Linked DNA regions of Tamandua tetradactyla. Each later gene encodes a partner of the first gene's protein in a complex. Links are inferred from orthologs where the notes say so. Each region holds a gene or a part of one and is shown on either strand. Other genes may lie near its edges.

What was found.
Region 2: DAB2IP (region 1) and ARHGEF6 share a complex: the UniProt entries of both Homo sapiens proteins name them as parts of the cytoplasmic complex. The link is inferred for Tamandua tetradactyla from reciprocal best matches to the Homo sapiens genes DAB2IP and ARHGEF6.

Annotation. Positions count from the first base shown.
Region 1 is NC_135328.1:35,525,843-35,537,403, forward strand, and holds the start of DAB2IP (disabled homolog 2-interacting protein), read right to left. Parts: upstream 5,089-11,561; coding exon 4,965-5,088; intron 1-4,964. UniProt on the Homo sapiens protein: Functions as a scaffold protein implicated in the regulation of a large spectrum of both general and specialized signaling pathways.
Region 2 is NC_135353.1:22,457,806-22,469,545, reverse strand, and holds the start of ARHGEF6 (rho guanine nucleotide exchange factor 6), read right to left. Parts: upstream 5,810-11,740; 5' UTR 5,476-5,809; coding exon 5,311-5,475; intron 4,099-5,310; coding exon 4,015-4,098; intron 1-4,014. UniProt on the Homo sapiens protein: Acts as a RAC1 guanine nucleotide exchange factor (GEF).

The DNA.
Region 1 (11,561 bases):
GGGCGTTATCTTGCCCAGGCTCCAGGAACCTCACACCAGGAAACACTGAATTCTCAGCACAAAGGGACCTGGTGCAGAAACAGAGCTGAAGCCATGCCCAGGAAACAGTATTATTGGCAGAAAATGAATCAGATCAGGACATAGGGGGCACAAATAGGGAGAGGGAGGACCAGACCTGAGGGTCCCACCTGCGCCAGTGAAGGTAAGCAACTCACAGATGCTGGAGTCATTTCCCTGCTTCCCTCCTGAGTGACAGTTTAGGATTGTGGGAGCTCATGACTGCATACACCCTGTGGAGTTGCTACCTGGGAAAATCTGATAGGACATTATTACAAAGAAGAAGAGAAAGTCTTATCAAAGCCAAGGCCTAGCCTGAGAAAGACCCGTGTGCCTACAAATAGCCAGGTGGAACACTGACAAACTCAACATCGGAGTCAGGCAGAGCTGGGCTCCACTGTTTCTGAGCTGTGTGACCTGGACAAGGCTCTCACTCGGTGGGCCTCAGTTTTCTCACCTGTAAAATGAGAATAATACCAAAATAAATCTACTGGGGTCATTGTGAGTAGGAAATGAGATTACTCAGGTACAGAGTTCAGTGCAATGCCAGACACTGAGGAGGGACTCAGAAAGCAGGAGATGTTTTCACCCATGTTACATGTCACGAGAAGCAGTGAGCTCCCCAGAAACTGGGGCCAAGCTCCAAAGGAAGGATTGTGTCTCAGCAGGAACAGAAAGAGAGACAAGGCAGAAAAGGACACAAACATGATTTCAGAGTCTCGTCCCAGTTGGGGGTAGAAAGCCAAGCCTTGGGCATTTAGGGGAATGTCTGAGGGTTAGAGGGCAACAAGACACAACCAGCCCCCATTTGCAGGGTTTTTTCTCAGGCTTGTCCAATCCTTGGGGTCTAGACTGCTGCCCCAGAGGCCTCTTGGAGTCTGTTTGAAGCCAAGATCCCTCATGAGAGGTCACGGTCCCCGTCCCTCCCTATAATGGCACACACAGGCCCTTCCCTCAACGTTGCTCCCAGACAAGACCCAAACCAGCAACCTCCCTGATCATGTTGCTATAGTCCCAGCTCCTCTGTGCCTCAGTGTCTCCCTCTGGACCTCAGGGGTCGGACCACCCAGCTGCATGCTCCAGCCCTGGGAGGGGACCACCACCTCAGGAGGCAGCCCCAGCTCTCCTGGGGACCATCTCCCAGGCAGGCCTCTCCTGCTTATTCTTCAGAGTAATTGGGGGGCTCCTGTAAACCCCTGCCAAGGCCCCACAGAACAGATAACAGCAAATTCTTCCAGGTGGAAGAAGAGGGCCATACAGCAGCTGTCAAATGGAGAGACATGTGGGCACGATGGAGGATTTAACCATCTTAGGAGAAAACATTGGCAAGTCCCCAGAGCCCCATCCGGACCCGATATGTGGGTCCCTGGAAAGCAGCAGGTGGATGGATGAAGACATGAAGAAAGGAACCAAAGCCTCCCACGGGTATGGACCCACTACAGTTCCAAGAGGTCCCCTGACACCAGTGGCGTAGCAAGACAGATTAGCCCCAATTGATGGATGGAGAAATGGATAACGAATTCATGGCTGAGCTGGACTTGAGCCCGTCTCCCACTCGCCATCTCTCCATTCCATCAGAAAGGGCCACCTGCTCCAGTGCACTCCAAGTCACCTCCTCACCAGACTTGGGGCTCAGTGAGGGCAGGGAGCATGTGTGATTCATCTCCATGTCCCCTGGTGTCCAACCTGGAGCCCAGCATATAGTGTAGGTCCTCAAGACATGTGCTGGCGGAATGAATGGGCCAGAACTTTACCCATCATGACAGGAATGCTCTGGGGGTGACAAAAAGTTCAGACAAACAGGTAAACGAGTCTTTCCTTGACCACGGTAAGGACATGTAGACAGGCACCCTGGCTGGTGACATCCTTCAGGGAACAGGACCCCCTCAATTCCATGTTCATTGTGCAACCTTCAAGATTGCACAATGATGCAATCCAGGACTCCAGGATGACAAGCACAGTGGCAAATGGCCAGAGCATCCTTGCCATCCAAGGAGGATGCCTCTGGCATTGTCAAGCTTTGTGGCCCCCAACATTAGGGCTTACTCTGCACCCCACATTGGTGAAACCCAGACAACAGCAGATGCTGTCCCTCACTTGCAGCCTTGCCTGGGGCAAGGTCCTGCTCTCAAATCTCCAATGAGCCCCCTCCCCATGCCTCCGATGGGGGTCAGTGGGCAGGGAGCATTCTCAGAGGTGGCAGCCTGGTCACAACCCTTTCCCCGGCCCGATCAGCTGCAGGTCCCAACCTCTAGTCCACTCTTCCCTACGCTTTGCTTTTTCCGAACAAAAATCCACCCCAAGTTCTTGGCCATTTTTCTTCCCTGCTAGTGGCAGAGGCCAGAATAGATATGGAGCAAGTGTCTGAGCTGGGCTGGGATACCGGGAACCACCCCTCCTCTGAGGTCTGATGTCACAGTCACGGGACCAACTTTCCAGGCTGAGAGGGAGACTGAGGCCTGAGGTAGGAAGGACCTGGCTCAAGGCCACGTGGAAGCCCCCCCCCCCAGCATGCACTACCATCTGCATGGGGGCACTGCCCTCAGGAGGGGTTAGTGAGAGGGTGGCCCCTCAGAGTCAGGGCTCTGGAGGGAGGTCAGTATCTGCTACAGAGGGCAGGGGACCTCCAGCCTCCACCTTACACCCTGCCCCAGTCATTCTCCCAAGCAGCTCTCTTCCCCACCCCAACCCCCATGATTCCCAATCACTTAAGGCCATTTATCAAACTACCGTTCCCTGTTCCCCTTCCCAACCCATTCCCCATCCCTGCCCCAGGAAGAATTCTGCCCATTTGTCCCCAACACCCAAGGCATTTTCCTCCTGTCCAGAGAAAGGACCATAGTAGCTCACACTCAACTGTAGCCCAGGACCTAGACACTGGTTTCTAGCTTTCCATGTGTTTGTTCTCATTCCTTAAAGAACCCTGTCATCATTATCTCCATTTACTAGACAAGAACCCTGAGGCTTGAAGAGGTAACTGACCCCAGGAGAGTTATGTGCTGAGCTGCAACTTGAAACCAGATCTGATTCAACCACTACTCCTGCCAAAGGAAATCTTTTCCATTTTGTGAGAGCAGTCCAAATGTCACCTCCTCTGTGAAGCGCTCCCTGATTGCCTCAGTTCTAACTCCTCTTCAGCAAGTCTCTTCCCCACCCCCAGCAGGTTGTGAGCGCCTTCAAGGATGAGACACAAAGCAGAGGCTCCCTCCTGTGGGGCCTGAGAACTGGGGCTCCAGTGAAGACCTGACACATTGACTGTCCCCTGCCCAGTCAACAAAGCCCCTGGGTTCAGAGGGAGACTCCAGGTCCCCTATGTGCCTCTGCAGCCAGGGATGGAACTGGGCTGAGATTTTTTTTTAAAAGTGGAGGGTAAGCTTTTACAGAACATTTCAGAGGCAAGGGGAGGGTGGGAGGGGTGGGTTCAGGAGGAGAGGGGTGAGTGTTATTGGGTAGTTGTACAACTCCTCCTTATCACAGTAGGGACTTTACTGAATCTTCCACATACTGCTAGTCCCATTTTACAGATGAAAAAACTGAGAGTCAGAAAGGGGAAGTGACTTGTCCAAAGCACAGTGACCAGTTCTTTAACACAGATCACTGGTCTCCGAGTTCAACTCTGAAGTGAGGTAGAAGCTAGAGATGACTTCAGGGAAGGGAAAGGGGAGTGGGATCACAGGCCTGGAGAGACCCTCAAGGCTTGAACATCAGCACACACCTGTGTATAACCCCAGCCTCAGCTTGAACCCTTCCATGAATGGGGAACTCACTACTTCCTGAGGAAGCCCTGTTTTATTGTTGCTCAGCCCTGACTGTGGGAAAAAGTCTTTCTCGTTCTGGAGGGGGTGGGGTGGGGAAGCAAACTAAGCTAATGCTGACTGCCTGCTCACTTCGTATACTCTCACAAAGATGGTAAACTTGAGGCTCAGGGGCATGGCTGCAGAGCCTAGGTCACACAATCAGCACTCGGAGGGATCAGGATTTGACCCTAGGTCTGCCAGATTCTATGTATAGCAATTGCTCAAACCCCTCTCTGTGCAGGGGGTTTGGACCATGGGACCAGCCGTCCTGTTCTTCATGACAACCTGAAGGTGGAAATGTGGCCTAAGTCCCCACCGAGGGCGGCGGGGACCCGGACTCCCCATGGACACTCCGGGTAGGCCTGAGTCTTTGCCAGGGACTCCAGGCTCCCAGGGGCCCTTCAATAGCCTCCTCCCAGGGGGCCTCCCTCCCTCCCACCCAGCCTGGGAAGGAAGTCCCAGCCCCCACCCGCTCTGAAGGCAGCCCGCTTGGATCACACACATTTCCAGCTGAGGATCCAGTTACTGGAAAAAGAAAATGCTGCCTGCACCTCCCCCTTCAGTTCAGCCCTCCCTCCCAGGCTTGAAAGAGAAACTCCTTTCAAAGCCCACCAACGCGAAGGGGTCCAGGAGGGATCTCTACAAACCCGGCATCCGGCTCTTTCCTGGGTCGAGGCCCCTGAAGTCCACCCACTTGTCCCTCCACCCAAGAGGTGGGGGAGCCTGTTAAATCCCTGAAAAGGGAAGAAGTCCAGGGCTGGGAGGGCGGCTAAGCTGGGAGGCCAGGGCAGTGAAGGTGAGGAGAGAAAAAGCCAGGAGCCACCCTGGATCACTTTAATGCCCTGCAGCTGGGTAAACTAAGGCTCGGTGGTCGAAAACCATGGATTCCAATCTCCCTTCTCCCTGCCCACAGCAAAGGGAGATCCCCAAGAGTGGAGGGTGCGGGAGAAGCTGGTGGAATTGGAGTCAGGGAGACACGGTACTGGGCAGGTGAGGGAGCTCCCCGTAAATGGATAGGAGGATTCAGGGTCCCTGGCATTCCAGGGCATCAGGGTGGTGAAGTGGCGGTCGGGAGGGCCTGGGGGGTCAGGGGGTCCGGGTGGCGCCTACCCCTGGCAGGCCGGGTCCGGCTGCGGGAGCGGCTCCTCTGTCGCTGCAGCCGGGGCCGCCTCAGCAGCCGGTAGTAGTAGGAGGGCCTCCCGGTGCTCTTCCTGGCGCTGCCGCCCGCGGACATGCTGCCGCCCGCCGGGCACCGGACCGGGCCTGGGCGCGCTCACACGGGCCCCATCGCCCGCTCCGGACGGCCCGGCGGGCGTCCCTGTGTTCTCCCGCGCTCGTCCGAGCGGCCGCCGCCGAGGCCAAGGCTGCCCGACAAAGTAGCTCAAACTCCTCCTCCTCTCCCCCTCCTCCGAGCAGCCGGCCCCGCGGCGGGGGCCGGGGACCGGGAGGCCGGGCTGGCACCGTCCCGGAAAGTCAGCGCGGGAGAAATCCCGGCCTGGAGTCAGCGGGGAGAGGCGGCCCGGAGTGCCCCCGGGACCCCAGACCCTGACGTCGGGAAGCAGGAGGGTCCCGCCCCCCCGCGCCTGAGGGCCTGACGCCGGATCCCGGGCGCGCGGGGCGCCCCATCCGGGCGGCGGGTGTAGACCTGCCGTCTGCGCGCTCGGGAGACGGGGCATAGGGTACCCGCAGCGCAGCCAGGAGCACGCCATGCTCCGGGAACCCGTCACCTTCGATCAGAGTCCGAATGAAGCCCGTTGCCGCCCCCAGCTCACACCGCTGAGAATCGACCCGCAAATGCGCCGCTCAGCGGGCCCCAGGCCCCAGCCGGATGGAAAGCACTCTTCTTTCACGCAGGACACATGCCTAGTCTTTACATTTTAAAAATTGTCCCATTTGATACAAACATTACTTTCCTATAATTAAAATGATAGTGTATATTTCAAGCACACAAAAAGTGGAGAGAACATAATGAATACCTATGTATGCAGTCGGCATCACCAAATCTGAACATCTTGCACCCTTCGATTTGGAATCCCCTTTCCCCACTCCACCAGGGAGTCCCATACATAAAATAGCACAGATGCAGTGAAGTCCGCACCCCCCTGGACATTTACTGCAGCTCTGGTGGGCCTTCCGGGAGGGCAGAACAATTCCTATCCTGCTGTAGAGATGGGAAACTGAGGCTGGGTCCCAACTCTCTCTGTGCATTTGGATTTCTCACTCCCCAGCTCAAGAATCTTCTGTGGCTTCCCAAAGCCCAACAGCAACAAGCCCAAACCTCCTGCTCTAGCGTGTGGGGTTCCAACTATCTGACCCAACCAAACCACAGTCTCGTGTTCTCTGCTCCCCCAACTTCTCACTTTTATTTGCTCTACTGCCAGCAGGGACTGCCCTCCATCCTACTTTTCTCTGCCTGGCCAAAGTCCACCTTACCAGGGACTCCTCTTTCTAACCTCCCTTGACCATCCAGGCCCTCTCTCCCCTCCTCAGCCCCAGAGTGGCATTTATCACTTAAGCCATTCAGATATGAAGCTGCCAGATCTTCATTCCCTCAGAGGGGTCTTTCCCTTACATGGAAAGACCGTGGCAGAGAGGCAAGTTGTCTTAGCCTGGGACCCCCCCAATATGCAGTCTTAGGAGTACAAGTGTAAGAAGGGGGAGGGATCACATGTGGGTGCCTTAGGCCATATGGTGTGCCCCGGGCCTGATACGATGGGGCCCTGGAGGGGACGGGGCAGTCTGGGCAGGAGTCCAGGCCAGGTTTTGTACCTCACAGGGGGGCGCCCCCTCCCACACTCAGCCAGCAGGGAGGGCCCCTAGGTTGAGAGGAGCCTGGATCCCAGCTGGATGCCAGGGGCTGACCCTAGACCAGGAGGGCAGGGCAAGGGGTGTCTTGCACCTCCAGACCCAGTCACCCCCCAGGGAAGGGCTAAGACAACTTCCCTGGCTCCTCTTCTCAGAATACTGGCCAATCCCACCACGGGAAGGTAGAATACCACCTTGCCTACAAGCACACCATAAGCCTCCTTCGAGTCTCATTTTCAATAGCGGACGTTATACAGAAGCCTCTTAAAAGTGCAAAGTCTCCTGGGAAGCGCTCACACCTGGGTGAACTGTGGGTCATCATAGCAGGCATCCTCTCTGGCCTGGCCACTGGAATCCACCTATCCACACCTTGGTACTTCCAGTAATGAATAATCTCCCTAGTAAGGCCCACCAGTTTTGGGAAATAGGGGTCTCCTGGGGAGCCCCGCACAGAATGCATGGAACAGCCCTGTTCCCAAGAGCTGGAGTTCATCTGGCCTGGTTCCCCTCCCAAAGCAGGAATCTGAAAGCCAAGTTCCAGCCTTTGCTTAAGGGAATGAGAGGCTCACTGCCCACAGACTCTGATCATGGCAGTGGCAAATGGTCCTGAGGCCCCCAAATGTAGACTTAGGTCTGTGTGGGTAGAGGCAGGGGGGAATGGGAAGAAGTAGCCAGAAACTAAGACCCAAGTCTGGTGTGATCTCCCAGCTTATGCTTGAACTCCTCAAGTCCCTCTCTGTATTTCAGTTTCCCTTTCTGCCAAAAGAAGCTAAGGCCTCCCAACCAATCCATCTCGTGCAAGGAGGACGGTCAGTTCATGAATTGTTAGAAGCATTTACATTCCCGGCCCTAGGATGGGAGTTGGCATTACCACCTACACCAAGCAGAAGTCTAAAGTCTCCACCAGTGGGCCAGTAGGGGCTGGGTACAGTGCAGGAAGGGGGGCAGGGCAGGAGCTGAGGGAGAAGGAGCCTGGGCTTCCTGCCCCTCCTCCCAGCCCGGGACCCCCAGGGCGTGCAGGCAGACAAAAGCTGCTCCCTGCTCACCCCAGCAGAGCATATGGAATCAATCTCAGAGTAGCCAGACCCACCCCGTGCTGCTACCCCCCACCCGCAGCCCCTGGGCCTCCTCCCTCCGAACAGAAGCAGCAGAGACTTCCAGAGACTGCCTGGGCCGGGGTGGGGAGGGGTTCTGAAAATCCCCACCCGCACCCCACCCCCACACTGCTTTCTGTGACAGACCCCTCCAGGGAAAGCCCTCTGGGACTGCTCTAACCAGCATCAGCTTTAGAGGCCCTGCTGATCTTCAAGCCTCAGGGCCTACAGGGTTAGCAGCCAGCTGGTCAGCGCTCCTGTTCCCCCACCTCTGTCTTCTTCCCTCTAGGGTGGATACAGACAGGCCCAGCTCCTTTCTCCCGGACATGCTGCTTCCGGTAGGTCAAGACTACAGCTTCTATAGCCTCCACATCTCCCTTGAGCTCATTAAAACATGCATATTTCCAGGTCCCCCGCCCCTCCCCTCCCCAGATGTTTGAATCAGTAGGTCTGGATGGGCCTGGACATCTGCATTTTTTAGTACGTGGCAGATAGGGGAACCAGTTGGTGGAATCAGCTCTCAACACAACCCCCCTACCACCACCACCACCACATTTACCCTCTCCCCCAAAAGCCTCCACAGGCGGATCCCTAGAGTACTGCGAAGAACCAAGCTCTGTCACAACAGCCACCTCCCTTTGCAGCCCTACCCCACTCCAGCCACCTTGCTCCATCCACCCGAGACGTTCCAAAGGTCCTGCACTATCTCCCGCCTCTGGCCTTTTGCCCTGGTTGGTGTGTTAACATGAAATTCTTCTCTGCACCCACCTGGCAAACTCCTCCTTTTCTCTCAGGAACCAGCTCAAATCTCCTTAAAGTAGTCTGCCCTGAGCCCCCAGGAGAGACCCTCCATTGTGCTCCTGCCATACCCCACTAATGAGCTGAAAGATGGGGGCACCAGGAGGCCACAGGAGAAGACCAGGGAAGAATGGATCAACAGAATCCCCCTTTGGGCAAGGAACCATGGAGCAGGAGGCCTGCACCCGGCTGGGTTGGAGGTGCTGGACAGCATGAGAACGGGGCTGACAGTCCAGGTAAGTCCAGGTCAGGCCAGGGCTAGGTCAGGAGGGATACCCAGATGCAGGGGACAGGGGCCACCTGGTCAGCCCAATGCAGCCACATCTTCCTGGGGGTGTTAGGTTTAAACTTAGTGAAGAAGAAGTGGGAAAAAATATATATCATCAGATTTACCCTTGAAAAGCCCATAAAGAATAGTTTTTGCCTCTAACATCAATAGATCACCCATTTCTTCTGCTGAGCACAAAGTAGAAGGACCTGGCTTGCATGAAGGGGCCATATGTATAGGAGGAAAACAACAGCAGCAATTGACCATCCTGAAATACTAGGCTCTGCCCAGGGAGGAGAGAGGCTCACGCTTGGAGGGGACCACAGAATCCACGACCTCCCCAACCAAGGAAGGTCACAAGTTTGACCTTGAAAAGTTTGCATGAGGGTGTAGTTTGGACTTAATAATAATAATGGAAGCTAAAGTGTATTCCGAATTTACCAGAAGCCAAGACCCTGTTCTCAGCATTCATCTCATTTACACATCATCTCATTTGCTTTCACAACAAACCTACGAGGCAGACATTACCGCCTTCATTTCACAGAAAATACTGGGAGCAGAGAGGCCCAAGGTCACAGGGCTTGTAAGAGGTGGAGGCAGAAACTGAACCCAGGCTGGCTGGTGAGGAGGTTTGTCACACACTGAGCAGGATGCACAGAGTCGGGGGAGGGCAACAGCCTAGAGCTTTCCTTAAAATCCGACTTGGCAAGGGACAGAAGGAGGCCTGGACTGGGGGTGGGGAGTCTGACAGGGGAAACATCAGAGCCCACATCAGGCCCCAAACAATGGATGTCTGCAGAACTCAGACCTGTCGGGTTTCCTGTCTGAAGGCGGGCAGGCAGCACAAGCAGGGGAAGCCCCCTGCCAGGCAGCCTCTACAGATCCACCTCCCAAGCCAGTCTCAGCCTTTGAGTCACTGGGCCCCTGGGCAGAGGTGGGGGGAGTAGAGGGCATTCATGGTTAAGGTCATGGCCTCTGCCCTGCGAGGCAGCCCGTCTAACGTCTAACAGTTAGTGACGGCTTCCTGTGTCCACCATTCATCCGGGAACAAGGTAGGACCAAGAGTAGGACCATCATTTGGGAGGTGGGGTGGGGGGTGGCGGGTTGGGGGTGTCTGGGGCTGGGCCTCCCGTCATGCCAAGAGATGCTGACAGGCCCTGTGAGGTCCTGCTCAGATACCTGGTGACAAACTAGGTGTCTACCGCCTCCACTACCCCCAGACTTCCTCCCTAAATCCACCAGTGAATTTAATGGCATCCTTTGCAGAAAATGGCCAGGTCTGGGTGGAGATTATCCCAGTCTTGGATGACTCTGCCCCTCTCAGCACAGATGGAAGTGGGGGACTAGCCAAGCATGGACATTTGGAAGCTCACAGACACAGGGCCTTGGGAAGGGTGAGTATTTTTTAAATCAATTCAATCAAGGCTGGGCCCGATGGTGAATCCTTGGGTGAACAGAGCTCTAAGAGGGATGGAAGGGCAGTGAGGGGTGGAGGGACCTGGGGGGGGGGGGGGGGCGGTCACGCTATGTGGCCCAAAGAAAGCCCCTTGACATCTCTGGGCCTCCACATGTTAAATGGGGATGAGGCAACTCTGCCAGGCCCACCTCCCTGGGATTCTATCAGGCCCAGAACTCTCCCTGAGTCCCCAAACCACCACAGAAGTGTTTCCTCCTGCCCTCCAGGGGCCCAGAGAAGAGGTCAGATCTCCCTGGAAACAGCCCATCATAAAATCCTGGAATGCCACAGCAGGAAGGACACAGTCAGAGTAAGTGATTGAACTAGGGAAGTCTAGGCCCTGAAAGACAGCTGCTTGCCCAGAGGCCCCTGCCTGAATTCCTCACTAAGTAGGATCTGGCCTCAGTTTCCAATCATAATGGACTCTCCCACCCCAGCACTGAGTAGTCAGGGAAACTGAGGCCCAGAAGGGAGAGAGACCCACCTGAGGTCACAGATGGGTATTGGGGTTAAGCTGGGGCTCCATTTCGGGAGTTAAATACAGCTGCCAAAGCCCCCCTCCCCTTCGGTTGCCTGAATCATCCCTCTCGCACTGCCTGATGCCTGCTCAGCTGCCCAGAGGTGCTCCCAGCTTCCACGCTCACAGGACAGTCAGCCCTGGACCCCCAAAGCTCAGAGCTCCATTCCAGTGACCCAACCCCTGGGGTTGGGGGAGGCTGAGATCCACTCTCCAGGACCCAGCCCTGGCCTCTCCCTCCCCACCCCCACCCGTGCAGGCAGCATTGCAGCCCAGATGGCCAGGCCTGGAGCAACTCCCTCCGTGTACTTCCTCTCCCCGCCCTGACCCAGAAACACTGCCAAGCTCCAGGTGGGCCCTGGGCCCCGGCCAGGCCCAAAGCCCCTCCCTGCTCCCCCAGCCTGGGCCTGGGGCTAAGGCTCAAGGTCCCAGGGTTCTTTCCTCCCTTGCCAGTGATAGGCCAAGAAGGTTCCACACCCACCGGCCAACCAGAGGGGTGGCATATGGTCCCAGCATGAGGCCGGAGAACCCCCACCCCAAGCAGACCTGCCTGGTCATCTGTGAACCGTTTCGTGCCTGGCACTGGCTTGGGTTCCAGCTGGAGGGAGGGAGCTCAATCCCTGAAGAGCCCACCAAGGAAGACAGGTGAACCAGCCCAGGAACCATCTCCCAGGATGTCCCCATCTCAGCAGGCTGAAGCCCTAGAACTTATGCACCTGCTCAAACAGTAACCAGCTCCCTGGTAGTCCCCATCCCAGCAGGGAGCTGA
Region 2 (11,740 bases), on another chromosome or scaffold:
CCAAAAGCAACAAAAACATAAAATATTTTAAAATAAATTGAACCAAAGAGATACAAAACTTCTACACAGAAAACTGCCAAACTTTGGTGAAAGAAATTAAAGAAGACATAAATGAGTGGAAAAGCATTCTGCATTCATGGACCAGAAGACTTAATATTGTTAAGATGGCAACACTCCCTGCTATGGCTTGAATTGTGTTCTCCAAAAGATATGCTGATGTCCTAATCCTCAGTACCTCATAATGTACCCTTATTCGGAAATAGGGTTATTACATGCAAGTTAAAATGAGGACCAGTCTGGCACTTCATGCAGTATGACTGATACTGGGGAAAGGAGACACTGACAGACACACAGAGAGAAGACAGCTATGTAACAACAGTGGCAGAGATTGAGTGATTCTACATCCCAAGGAATGCCAAAGACTACCTGTCTCTGCCTGAAGCCAGGAGAGAGACATGGAGCATATTCTTCCCTGCCAATTTCAGAAGGAGCATGGCCCTTCCAAGACCTTGATTTTGGAATTCTAGGCTCCAGAACTATGACATAATACATTTTTGTTGTCTTAAGACACTCAGTTTGTGGTACCTTGTTACATCAGTCCTAGAAAATTAAGGCACTCCTCAAATTGATCTACAGATTTGAGGTAATCCTTATCAAAATCCCAGCTCACTTATTTGCAGAAATGGACAAACTGACCCTAAAATTCATAAGGGCATGCAAGTGATCCAGAACAGACAAAATGATTTTGCAACTGAAGAACAAAATTGGAAGACTCACATTTTCTGATTTGAAAACTTACTATGAAGCTATAGTAGTCAAATTAATGAGGGAGATAATCTTTTCAACAATTGGTGCTTGGGCAATTGGATATCCACATGCAAATGAATGAATTTGAACCCCTACCTCACACCACATACAGGAAATTAACTCAAAACTGATCTAAGACTTAAATGTAAGAGCTACAATTGTAAAACTTTTAAAAGAAAACACAGGAGTAAATCTTCATGACCTATGATTAGGCAATGGTTTCTTAGATATGACACCAAAAGAAAACAATAAAGAAAAAATAGATGGATTGGACTTCAAAAAACATTTTTTTTTAAATTTGTGCATCAAGGACATATTAAGGTTGGGGAGGGGCTTCAGAAAGCACATTTGTTTCCCAGATGTCTTAGCGGACTACCTCCAACTAATTACTAGCTATGTGATCCTCTAGAGATCCTAAGGCACCTAAGTCTTCTGAGAAGTTGAAGGCTATTTAAAGAGGTCAACTGGTCACCCAATCAGATGATCAGAAAGTGGCAGCTCTATAATGTGGCCACCACTAGCCCACACTCCAATACTTTATTGGTCAGTGTGTGTTGTATCTCTGGCTCTATTTTTACTGCGTTCCCAAACTGACCATTTCAAGCTGTCATTCTTTCTTCAGATCAGTAGTATCCTGTGCTGGGCATTAGTCAAGCCCTGCTCTTCTTGCTTTTTGTAGTTTTACAACTTTATATAGTCAACAGAATGCATTAAGTATGTGCTATGCCAGACACTGTGCTAGGCATTTTGGGCTTGGAATGACTATATCTAAAGTTACTTTTGCAAATATTCATGTTTAGTTCTCTCTCTTAGCTACCTGGGAGTGGATGTTCGGCATCCTTGGCTGCTGGATGTTCCCTGGCACAGCTTTCAGTCTCATTTCTCTTGTACTGATCTTACATATATTTTATAGTAGTAGTAGGTTTACAGAAATAAAAACACGCAGATGGTAGAGTTCCCATACACACACACACACACACACACACACACACACACATGCACAGAGTTTTCCCCATTATTAACATTTTGCATTAATGTAGTATGTTACAATTGTTGAAACAATATTACTATAATTATATTAATTATAGTCTATAGTTTACATTAGGATTCCTTCTTTGTGTTGTACACGCCTATGGATAACTTTAAAAACTTTTTTTCTGATAACATGAATACAACCTAAATTTCCTGTTTAATCTACTTTTAATCGTACAGTTCAGTGATGTTAATTACATTCACATTGTTGTGGTATTGATTTTATCATTATGTCTCTCAGGGTTCTCTCAGTGTTTTGATGTGCTTCTTATGCATCCCTTAAAAGCGTAATTTTGCACACACCAGTGCAAAGAACACCGCCCAGTAATAGCGGCCAGCTATTGTGCATATTTTCCGTGCAATCAGGTAAGTGCAATGAGATTAGTAAATTACATTATCTCATCTCATCCTTAAAAAGAAATACAGTAGATATTATTAATGTGCTCATTTTACAGAGGCAGAAACTGGAGCATAGAGAGATGAAGTAACTTTTCCAAGAGGCTAACCCAGGTCCTTCGCACTACAAATCTTGTGTGTCTGAACATGACATCAGACTCTGCTTTATTACAATGCTCATAAAGGTCAGCCTGAATCATCAAAGAGAGGTCAAAATATGCCCAATGCCTTTCATTTAAGAAGAAGGAAAATTATGATATACTTTTTAGAAAGATTTCCATCCAAAGAAGCTAAAAGGATTTTAAGTATTGGTGCTTAAAAGGGTAAGCATTAATTAGCCGGAAAATCCACTTTGGTAGAACAACTCATTCCCCAATAATGCCAGACACAGGAAGGGTTTCTATATCATCAAGCATTCTTAGAATTGCAAAGAAGCTCAGAATACCTTCTGACAGCTTCTGAGTCCAGAAACCATTGGGTACTTCTTCATCTTTTATTTGAAAAATGAAAAAGAAAACATCATGATCTGTTCCACAGTAGAAATCATTCTATAGGTTTTTAAGTGGTCTCAAGCCACATCTACCTGAAAACCACACAGCTCCAATTGGGCAATTGGGAAACCTGGAATAAAATATTCGGAGAAAAGTGTATCGTGATGATGGCAGTAACTATAAAAATTGTGAAGGAAGCAAACTTTATCTGGGACAAAGCTATTACTGCTAATGATAACAATAATAGCTGCGTGTTGGAGAATACAAGCTACATGCAAGGTGCTCTTCCAAGGGCTTTATATATGTATGTATGAATTTATTGAAACTCACCCAAATCTTACAACATAGGTACCACTAATATTCCCATTTTCTAGGCATAGAAAGGTTAAGTAATGTGCCCAAGGTCAGAAAACTACTGGTGAGAGAGGACTGAGATTTGAACCCAAGCAGTCTGGCTCCAGAGACCATGCTCTGAACCATTCCAAATGTTGCTTTCCCACAAGTACTACTACTAGAACTTGTCCACTCATGCAGAGCACTTCTAACTTCCCCGGCCCCGTGCTGAGCACTCTGCATACATTATCTCAGAGCCCTTATGAGGTTGGAGCTCTTAGTCCTAAATTATTTCGCAGTATCTCATTTGATCCTTAAAATAGATATTATTGATGTCTCTATTTTACTGATTAAAACACTAAGGCAAAGACAAGTTAAATAACTTGACACAGTGGTGAAGGTATCAGCTCTCAGCAACACTCCCTAAACATATAATAAAATATATATATAATATATATAGTGCAACATTATTTAATTTTATATATAACACAAATAGTGCACTCTAATTTAATATACAATTTCTACCTCAGGGACAGTTTCTCCTAGCATTTCAAGGCCTCTCTTTCAGAGTGCTAATGGGAAAAAAAATGACAATGGGGGATTAGCAGTGACCTTCTCCAGCCAAGCGTCCACTTTTGGCTCCCCATAGTAAAGAAGCGTACTCACTCAAGCTCTGTCGCTGTAAGACTGCTCTCAGTGCTTGGGTGCTGTATTTAAGAGAAATCATTTTCTGAGTACTTATTATTTCTTTAGAACTTGCTTCTGGAGAAAACAGGCTAGCAATCCACTACTGGGGACAACCACCGACCTCAGTTGTGGTTTCCCATAAAATGCTACCTCTGTTTAACTCAGTGGCCACTGACAGTGAAAACAAACCAAGTACTTTTACTCCAAGGCGATCTGTCAGCAGAGTGAAAAATGACGACAAGAAGCCAGGCAACCTGGCTAGGCTTACCTCCACGTGAAGTGTTGCACATCCTTTCAGGAAGTCATTAATATTGTTGGTACAGTCTGCTTCATTTTGGGGCTCCAGACAATACTAGAGAAACATAATCAAATGTCACTTGGAGACTGTCATCCCATGCCAAGCAGACCATATTCATCATTCGTTGATAACTAGATAAGGTAGGCTTTTTAAGGCAGGGGACAATGCTGCTGTCAAACCAGGAAGAGAAATAACCACTGACGGAAGTGATGCAAAAATCTAAACGGTCAGTTTATGTTTCAAATGTCACCAAACCTTTAGTCCCAAGCCATCTCTACTTAAAAATTTTTTCTCATGCCTTCTGCCAGAGTGTGATGATAGCAAATCAGAGAGACCACAACCATTTTTTGAAGTTTGGTCTTGCTTTCAAACAAGGAGGCAATACCCGATTCCTCCCTCCCTGCTCCTCATGATGATTTATTAAAGTTACATTTTCCCCTATGCTGCTCTTGACATTTTATCACATTTCTCCACATTTAATCACCACTTTATCATTGTTTCTCATGTTTAAGAAATGATAAGTAGCTCTATTAGCTCACTAAAAATGCAAACTGGTTCATAAGGCAGAAGAGCTATACTCAGTCACATTCCTTGCTAGCGTTCAGAAAATAATCATAGGACTTCACCTTTAAACTTACTTAAGGTGCCTACTTTAGAAATCATCCACGCTCATGATCATGAGTTTCCAACATTTAAAATCTTGGAGTTTTAAAAGAGGGTAAGTTTAGTTTCACTTTGAATGCATGTTGCATTTGAAACATATATTTGATTTCTCTTGTTTTTACAAACCTTAAGTGATATTTTGGATTCTTTCTCTTCCTTACAAAATCATCTCTCCCTTGATGGATAGTTCATCTTTTTTTTTGTAAAGGAAATCTACATTGATCATAGTCAAACTGTCAGCAAACACCATCGATATTTGTTATAAATCATCTCATTATTCCAGAGGCATATATGCACCCCACATTCCAAACATGCATCTTTATAGCAGAATCAGTTTGTGATATGAGTATTCTCCTTTGTCTTCTGTTGCCAGTGGTATAATAGGATTTTACCACACTGATACTTGGGTTCTAATTACTAAAAGATAAAATTTCATTTTCTGACTTTTTCTAACTTCAAAAACAGTAAGAAAGAATATCTAACGCTTAGAAAGATAATGAAGTAGGAGATTCTCATGACCTGGACAATAGAAAATTCCAAGGGCTTCATTATTACTGCTCTCTGGTACTAGGCAATCCCAAAGATACTACAAATTTACCTTACCTTTTCCGCTGAGCCAGGAATAAGTCTGTTGATCAGTTTGCACAGAACTACCCCATTTTTCAGCGAGGACTTCAAGAACTCCTCCGGATCACAGATGGTCTTTTTGGGAGAATCTAAAACTCCCAAAGATATAAGCCATGTCACGATTCGCTCTTCTGGATTCATTACTGAGGACTGTACACTCCGAACAGCTCTCTGGGGCAGCTGCAAGGACTAAGCCACATCCGCGATTGCATCTGCTGTTGTCTTCCTTTTTATGAGTTCTCTGTTGGGGCTTGCAGAGCAAAGTTTTAAAACAACTTTTCTTAGACAACAGTGGAACCCACTCAAAATTTGGACTTTTAAAATCACAGAGACCACATTTAAAGATGCAGACAGAATGGACACCACTGGTTTTCTTTTTCAAAACCTTCAAAACAAATTCACTAGGATAAAAAAAAAAGAACACCACACAGGCATACACATGCACACGCGCGCGCGCACACACACACACACACACACACAATGCAAGAAGCTGTAAGGGAAGGAAGTAGGAGGATGCTGGGGAGGGAGGAGAGAGAAGAGAGCAAGTGCTTTTGGAAAATAGAGGTGAAACAGCACTTCAGGGGACCTTGGAAATGAGACACTTATGGTCCAGTCTGGGAAAAGGCTGTCAATAAATAGTCTAGTCCCAGTGAAAATCTGGCTTCTGTCAGGAAGAGGATGCCAACTGGCTCTTAGGTCAGACAGATCTGAGCCTCATGGGGAGCTGTGCTGGAACAACAGGGCTCAAAGAAGGTAGGCTGAGAAAATACTTCCAAGAAATGGCTGGGCTTCCTCATAACTGTCTCTCAGAGATGGTGTATCATGCTCATTCTTTACAAAAGACGTTGAGTTGCATGGCACAACGTGCCAAATGAATGAAGATTGTGCCTGCTGTCAGCCATTCTTGTGTATAAGCAGAAGCTAGAAGAATGACATTTTACATTGCAGCCAAAAAGCTATGTTTAGGGAAATAAGCTAAGGATAACATCTGACATCCTGTTTACTTGCATTCTTTAGCAATTCTTTTTCTGGACCTGGTTCCAATACACAATCCAGCTGCAGTCCCCTTAGCAAAGACAGTCATACAAGCGGGTAAAACACACTTGAAAACAGAATGTTTGAGAATAAAAGAGCACTTTGTCTACTGTCTACACAGCCTGGAAGGTGGATGCTTTCCCAAAGAATACCTTGCACTAAAAATAAAAACAGCAAGCAATCCTCATTACCCTCAAACATTTTCAGAACCAGTTGAAATAGTCAGATTACTGGGAAATTTATCACAAGGCCGATTTTGAGAGCATCGACCTATATTGGCAAATACATGGCATTCATACCACCACATGGGAGACAGTGCCAATCAATTACAGTTCTTTCCTGCTAAAGTTCAGAATCTTTCTCAACACAGTACAACCAAATAATCAGCTTAGATCACCCTGCTAAACATTTCAAAGCTGCCCCTTCTGTTCCTGTCATAATACTTATCACAATTTACTGATATTACTTGATCTAACTTCCCTGCCAGAATGTAAGATCCCTATAGTAGGGATCTTATCTGTCTTTTTTAGTGCTGTGTTCCCAGCAGAGTGCCTGGTACACAGTAGATGCTCAAAAATGCTGATTGAATGAATGAATATATTTATATGGTATCCCTGGCCTAGACACCACCTGACTATAACAAGGATTTTTTTGTTTGTTGGTTTATTGTTTTTTTCATGGTTTCAAACAAAATTTTTCCTTTTAACAACTTAATTGAAGGATTACTGATGCACAATCAACTGTACATATTTAAGCTATGTGATTCAATGGGTTTTAGCAAATGTGTACAAATGAAAACATCACCACAATTAAGATAAAGCTTTCCATCACCCTTTTATTAGGGTTCTCTAAGGAAAATAGAACTGACAGGTGATATCTGTAAATATGAGATTTTATAAAATTATCCCACATGACTGTGGGGATGTAAAAATCCAAATTCCATAGGGCAGGCTGTAAGCTAGGAACTCTGATGAAAGTTTCCATGAATTCCCTAGGAGAAGCTGGCTGGCTGAAGTAGAGATGGAAGTTCTCTTTTCTGACTGCTGAAGTCATCACTTCATCTTTAAAACCTTCAACTGATTGGATGAGATGCGTCTCATTGTTGAAGACAATCTCCTCAGTTGATTGTAGTTGTAATCAGTCAAACAATCAGCTTACTGATGATTTAAGTTTACAAAATGTCCTAACAGTAACAATCAGGCCAGTGCTTGGCTTGACCAAATAACTGAACAGTAGCATGTGGCCAGTTTGACACATGAACCTAACCATCACAACCCCCCAAAGTTTCCTTGTGTCTTTTCAACCCCTTCCTGCCAAGAACCTCTGCCCTGAATCTGAGATGAATACTAATCTGCTTTCTGTCCCTGTACATAAGTTTGTACTTTCCAGCAGTTTATATAAATGGAAGCATACAGTATGGTGCTTTCTTTCATCTGGCTTCTTTCCCTCAACATCATTATTTTGAGATTTATCCATATTGCTGTGTCTATAATAAGAATTTGACCTCCATGTGCTTGGTTTGATATAATTATGCTTACAAGCAAAATAAGTACAGTCAATCAAAAGCTTTAATTTTGACCCAGTGCCAAATCTATGCAATGGAAGTAACAAAAAAAAAAAAAAAAAACATTTGCTTATAAATGAAATTCCAAAATCTGACCTACTTAAACATACTTTTATATGTCATTTGGACAGCTTTCACAATTGCTCATCAAAATTTACTCTACAGACAAACAAAATCTGGCAATGTTATTGAGATTTTACTTGTATTTTCTGATAAAGAACAAAGTTTGAGTAATTTCCATACTCAGCCAAGTTTGAAATAGGCTTCAACCCACTGAAGTTGCCCAGGTAAAAATATTCCTCATTTTTGACACTGGTGAGTTTCAATATACATAAAATAAAATAAAAAATACAAGGCCACTTTCTCAAGATGGAAGAAACAATTCTATGGTATGAAGCTTGGAGGATAGGGTGGCAAAATGGTAAAAATGTCAAGAAAGCAAGGAATGTTGGGGCAGCAATAAGCATATAGGTGAAATGAGTAACTATGGAGCCCAGCCTGGGTAGGTATTCAAATTTGCTAGCTTCCAGAATGCAATATACCAGTGTTATGATGAAGTCATGTGTCAAATTGGCCAGGTGGTGGTTTCTGTTTGTCTGGTTGGGCAAGTGCTGGCCTGTCTTTTGCTATGAGGACATTTCATAGAATTAAATCATGAGCACATCGGATAAATTCACAGCTGATTCCATTTATAATCAGCCCAGGGGAGTGTCTTCTTTAATGAGTAATGCTTAATCTAATCACTGGAAGCCTTTTAAGGAGGATTCAGAAGAGATAGGCTCTCTTCTTGCTTCGGCCGGCAAGCCTCTCCTGGGGAGTTTGTCCAGACCCTCCATCAGAGTTGTCAGCTTCACAGCCTGCCCTGCAGATTTTGGACTCTATGTTCCCATGGTTACATGAGATACTTTTATAAATTTTATATTTACGAATATTTCCTGTTGATTCTGTTTCTCTAGAGAGCCCTAACTAATACAACCAGAAACAGAATGGCGTTTAAAAAGGGGAATTTATTAAGTTGCAAGTTTATAGTTCTAAGGCCAAGCAAATGTCCCAGTTAAAGCAAGTCTATAAAAATGTCCAAACCATGGTGCCAACAAGAGGTAACCTTCACTCAAGAAAGGCTGATAAGTTCAGGGTTTCTCTCTCAACTGGAAAGGCACATGGCGAACATAGCAACATCTGCTAGCTTTCTCCTCCAGTCTTCTTGTTTCATGAAGCTCCCCTAGGGGTGTTTTCCTTCTTCATCTCCAGAGGTCTTTGGCTACATGGGCTCTGTGGTTCTCATGTCTCTGTCAAGGCTTTCCAGCTTTTTGCAAAATGCTTCCTCTTTTAAAGGATTCCAGTAAAATAATCAAGACCCACCTGGAATGGGTAGAGTCACATCTCCCTCTAATGAAAAGTTAATACCCACAATTGGGCGAGTCACATCTCCATGGAGATAATCTAATCATGTTTCCAACATACAGTACTAAATAGGGTTTAAATGGCTGCTCCCACAAGATTGAATCAGGATTAAAAAATGACTTTTCGAGGGTTCATAATCCTTTCAAACCAGCATGGTAGGGAAGCAAGTGAAAAAAGGAGTGAAGTAACTGGCAGAATAGAGAGTGGGTAAAAGACTGGATTCACAGTTATGACAAAACAGTGAGCTTCACACAAGAGCAAAAGAAGCAAAGGTCTCTCACTCTACTTCAGATCCTTAGAACTATACACTCTGGGCCAAAGAACCTACCTCCTCACTCCCCCATCTCTATTCCTTCTCCTTAACATGCTGTCTAGCAGAGCAGTTTGTTGATTTCCCCAAAACACCTCTCTGATAGTGTAATACCCCTGCTTAAAATCCCTCAAAAGTTCTCCATTGCCTAAGGTACTAATTTTCAAATGAGAGCATACATGATAATCACCTCCTTTGAGCAAGGGAGGAGAAAGAAATGAGAGGGTAGAGCTTGACCCAAAAAAGGTAACACATTTTTTAAAAAAGGGTTTGTAGGAAACAAGGGAAATGTACTATTTGTTATAACTGGATGATGGGTATACTGGTGTCTGTTATGATATTTAATTTGCTTTTATGTACTTGAAGTATTGATAATTAATTTTTTCTTTTAAATCTACTGGTACACTTGTTAAAAAGAAGATTTCTTGGCCCTGAAGTATTCCCAGATACCGCAGTTTAGAAAGTTGTGATGGTGCAAAAGAATCTGTATTATTTAAGCTATCCTATTTGATTCTGATACAGGTGGACCAAGGATTACAATTGGAAGAACAAATTGATTTATCACCCTCCAACCCATCCCAATTTCAGCCAACACCCTGGGTCATTTGAATATCCACAAGAACAACAATCCAACATCATGACCATTCAGTTCCTTGACCTCCTGTATCAGTATTGGTTTGTTATTTCTCACTTCCTCTTTTTGCTTGCTCTGTGAAAACGGCCCTGGGAACTTTAAATATTTTTTACTTTGCCAGATGGCATGAATCTAAATTTTATCAGTACAGGGTGGTGGAGAGACTTTGCAGGAAGAAGGGGTTTACTTCCTGTTTCCTGTGTGCTCACTCTGCAGGCCCCTGCAGAGCTCCCAGCCTTTTTAGTGCCCACCTTCTGCAGCATTGGGTTCCCCAATGCACAGCAAGCATCAACTTCCCCTGGTTTTGTAGCAGAGTGCCTCTGGTGAGACACCACTCCTGAGAATGGAAAATCAGCACCCTGGAAGGTACATTTTCTGCAAATTCTAGAGGGCAGATGTTGAGAAAGTTCCACCAACTCAGCACCATGGCAATTTCTCTATCAAGGTCTGAATCTTCAGCCCTGGGTGAGGGGAGGGCTCTATTTTAGCTCTAAGGATAGTGACTATTATACATTATTTTTATATTATATCTGCTGTTCTTGTATTCGTTAGAGTTCTCTTTACTTCTTACTAGCCAATCCCTCATTATTCCAATCCCCTATTATAATTAATAATGTGTTATTGCTCAAATTTCCCTGTTCAAATTACTATGTAATTTCTCTCTCCTGATTGGCCCAAGAGTATCTTCAATAAACTCTTCCTGACCACCTCATCCACCCACTTGCAACATATACTTACTTTATCATCACACAAACTTCTCTGCCTTCTTAACCATGACTTTAAACATTTCATTCTCTAACCAAAACCTACCATCTTTCCAGCTTGCTGTTTCATTACTATCACTACAACTATTCCTTGACCTTATTGTTTTCCAAAACCCTTATTGAAAATGCATGCATCCACATACAGGGTTTGATTTTCCATTGCTGCATATCATAGCTGACAATTAATATTTCAGACTTTTGCAGTTTTGCTATTTTCATGGGTATGAAATTTACAATTCTATGATTATTATGAAGTTGATCACTTTTAATATATTTATTAGTAATGCACGTTTTCTCTTCTGTAAAATATTTTTTCAATTCTATTGCCCATTTTTCTATTAGGTTATATATTTTTTAACTTTTTTATTGTATAGTATAATATATAGACAAAGCAAAGAAGTAAAAAAGGAATAGTTTTCAAAGTACTCTTCAACAAGTAGTTGCAGGACAGATCCCAGAGTTTGTCATGGGCTACCATACAATCCTCTCAGATTTTTCCTTCTAACTGCTCCAGAATATAGGCTAGAAGGCTTAAATATTTTTATCAGTTTATATTTTGTTATTGATTTGTAAAGTTTGTTATACGTTATTGTATTAGTTAAGGTTCTCTAGAGAGACAGAATCAACAGGGAACACTTGCAAATATAAAATTTATGAAAGTGTCTCACGTGACCGTAGGAACGCAGAGTCCAAAA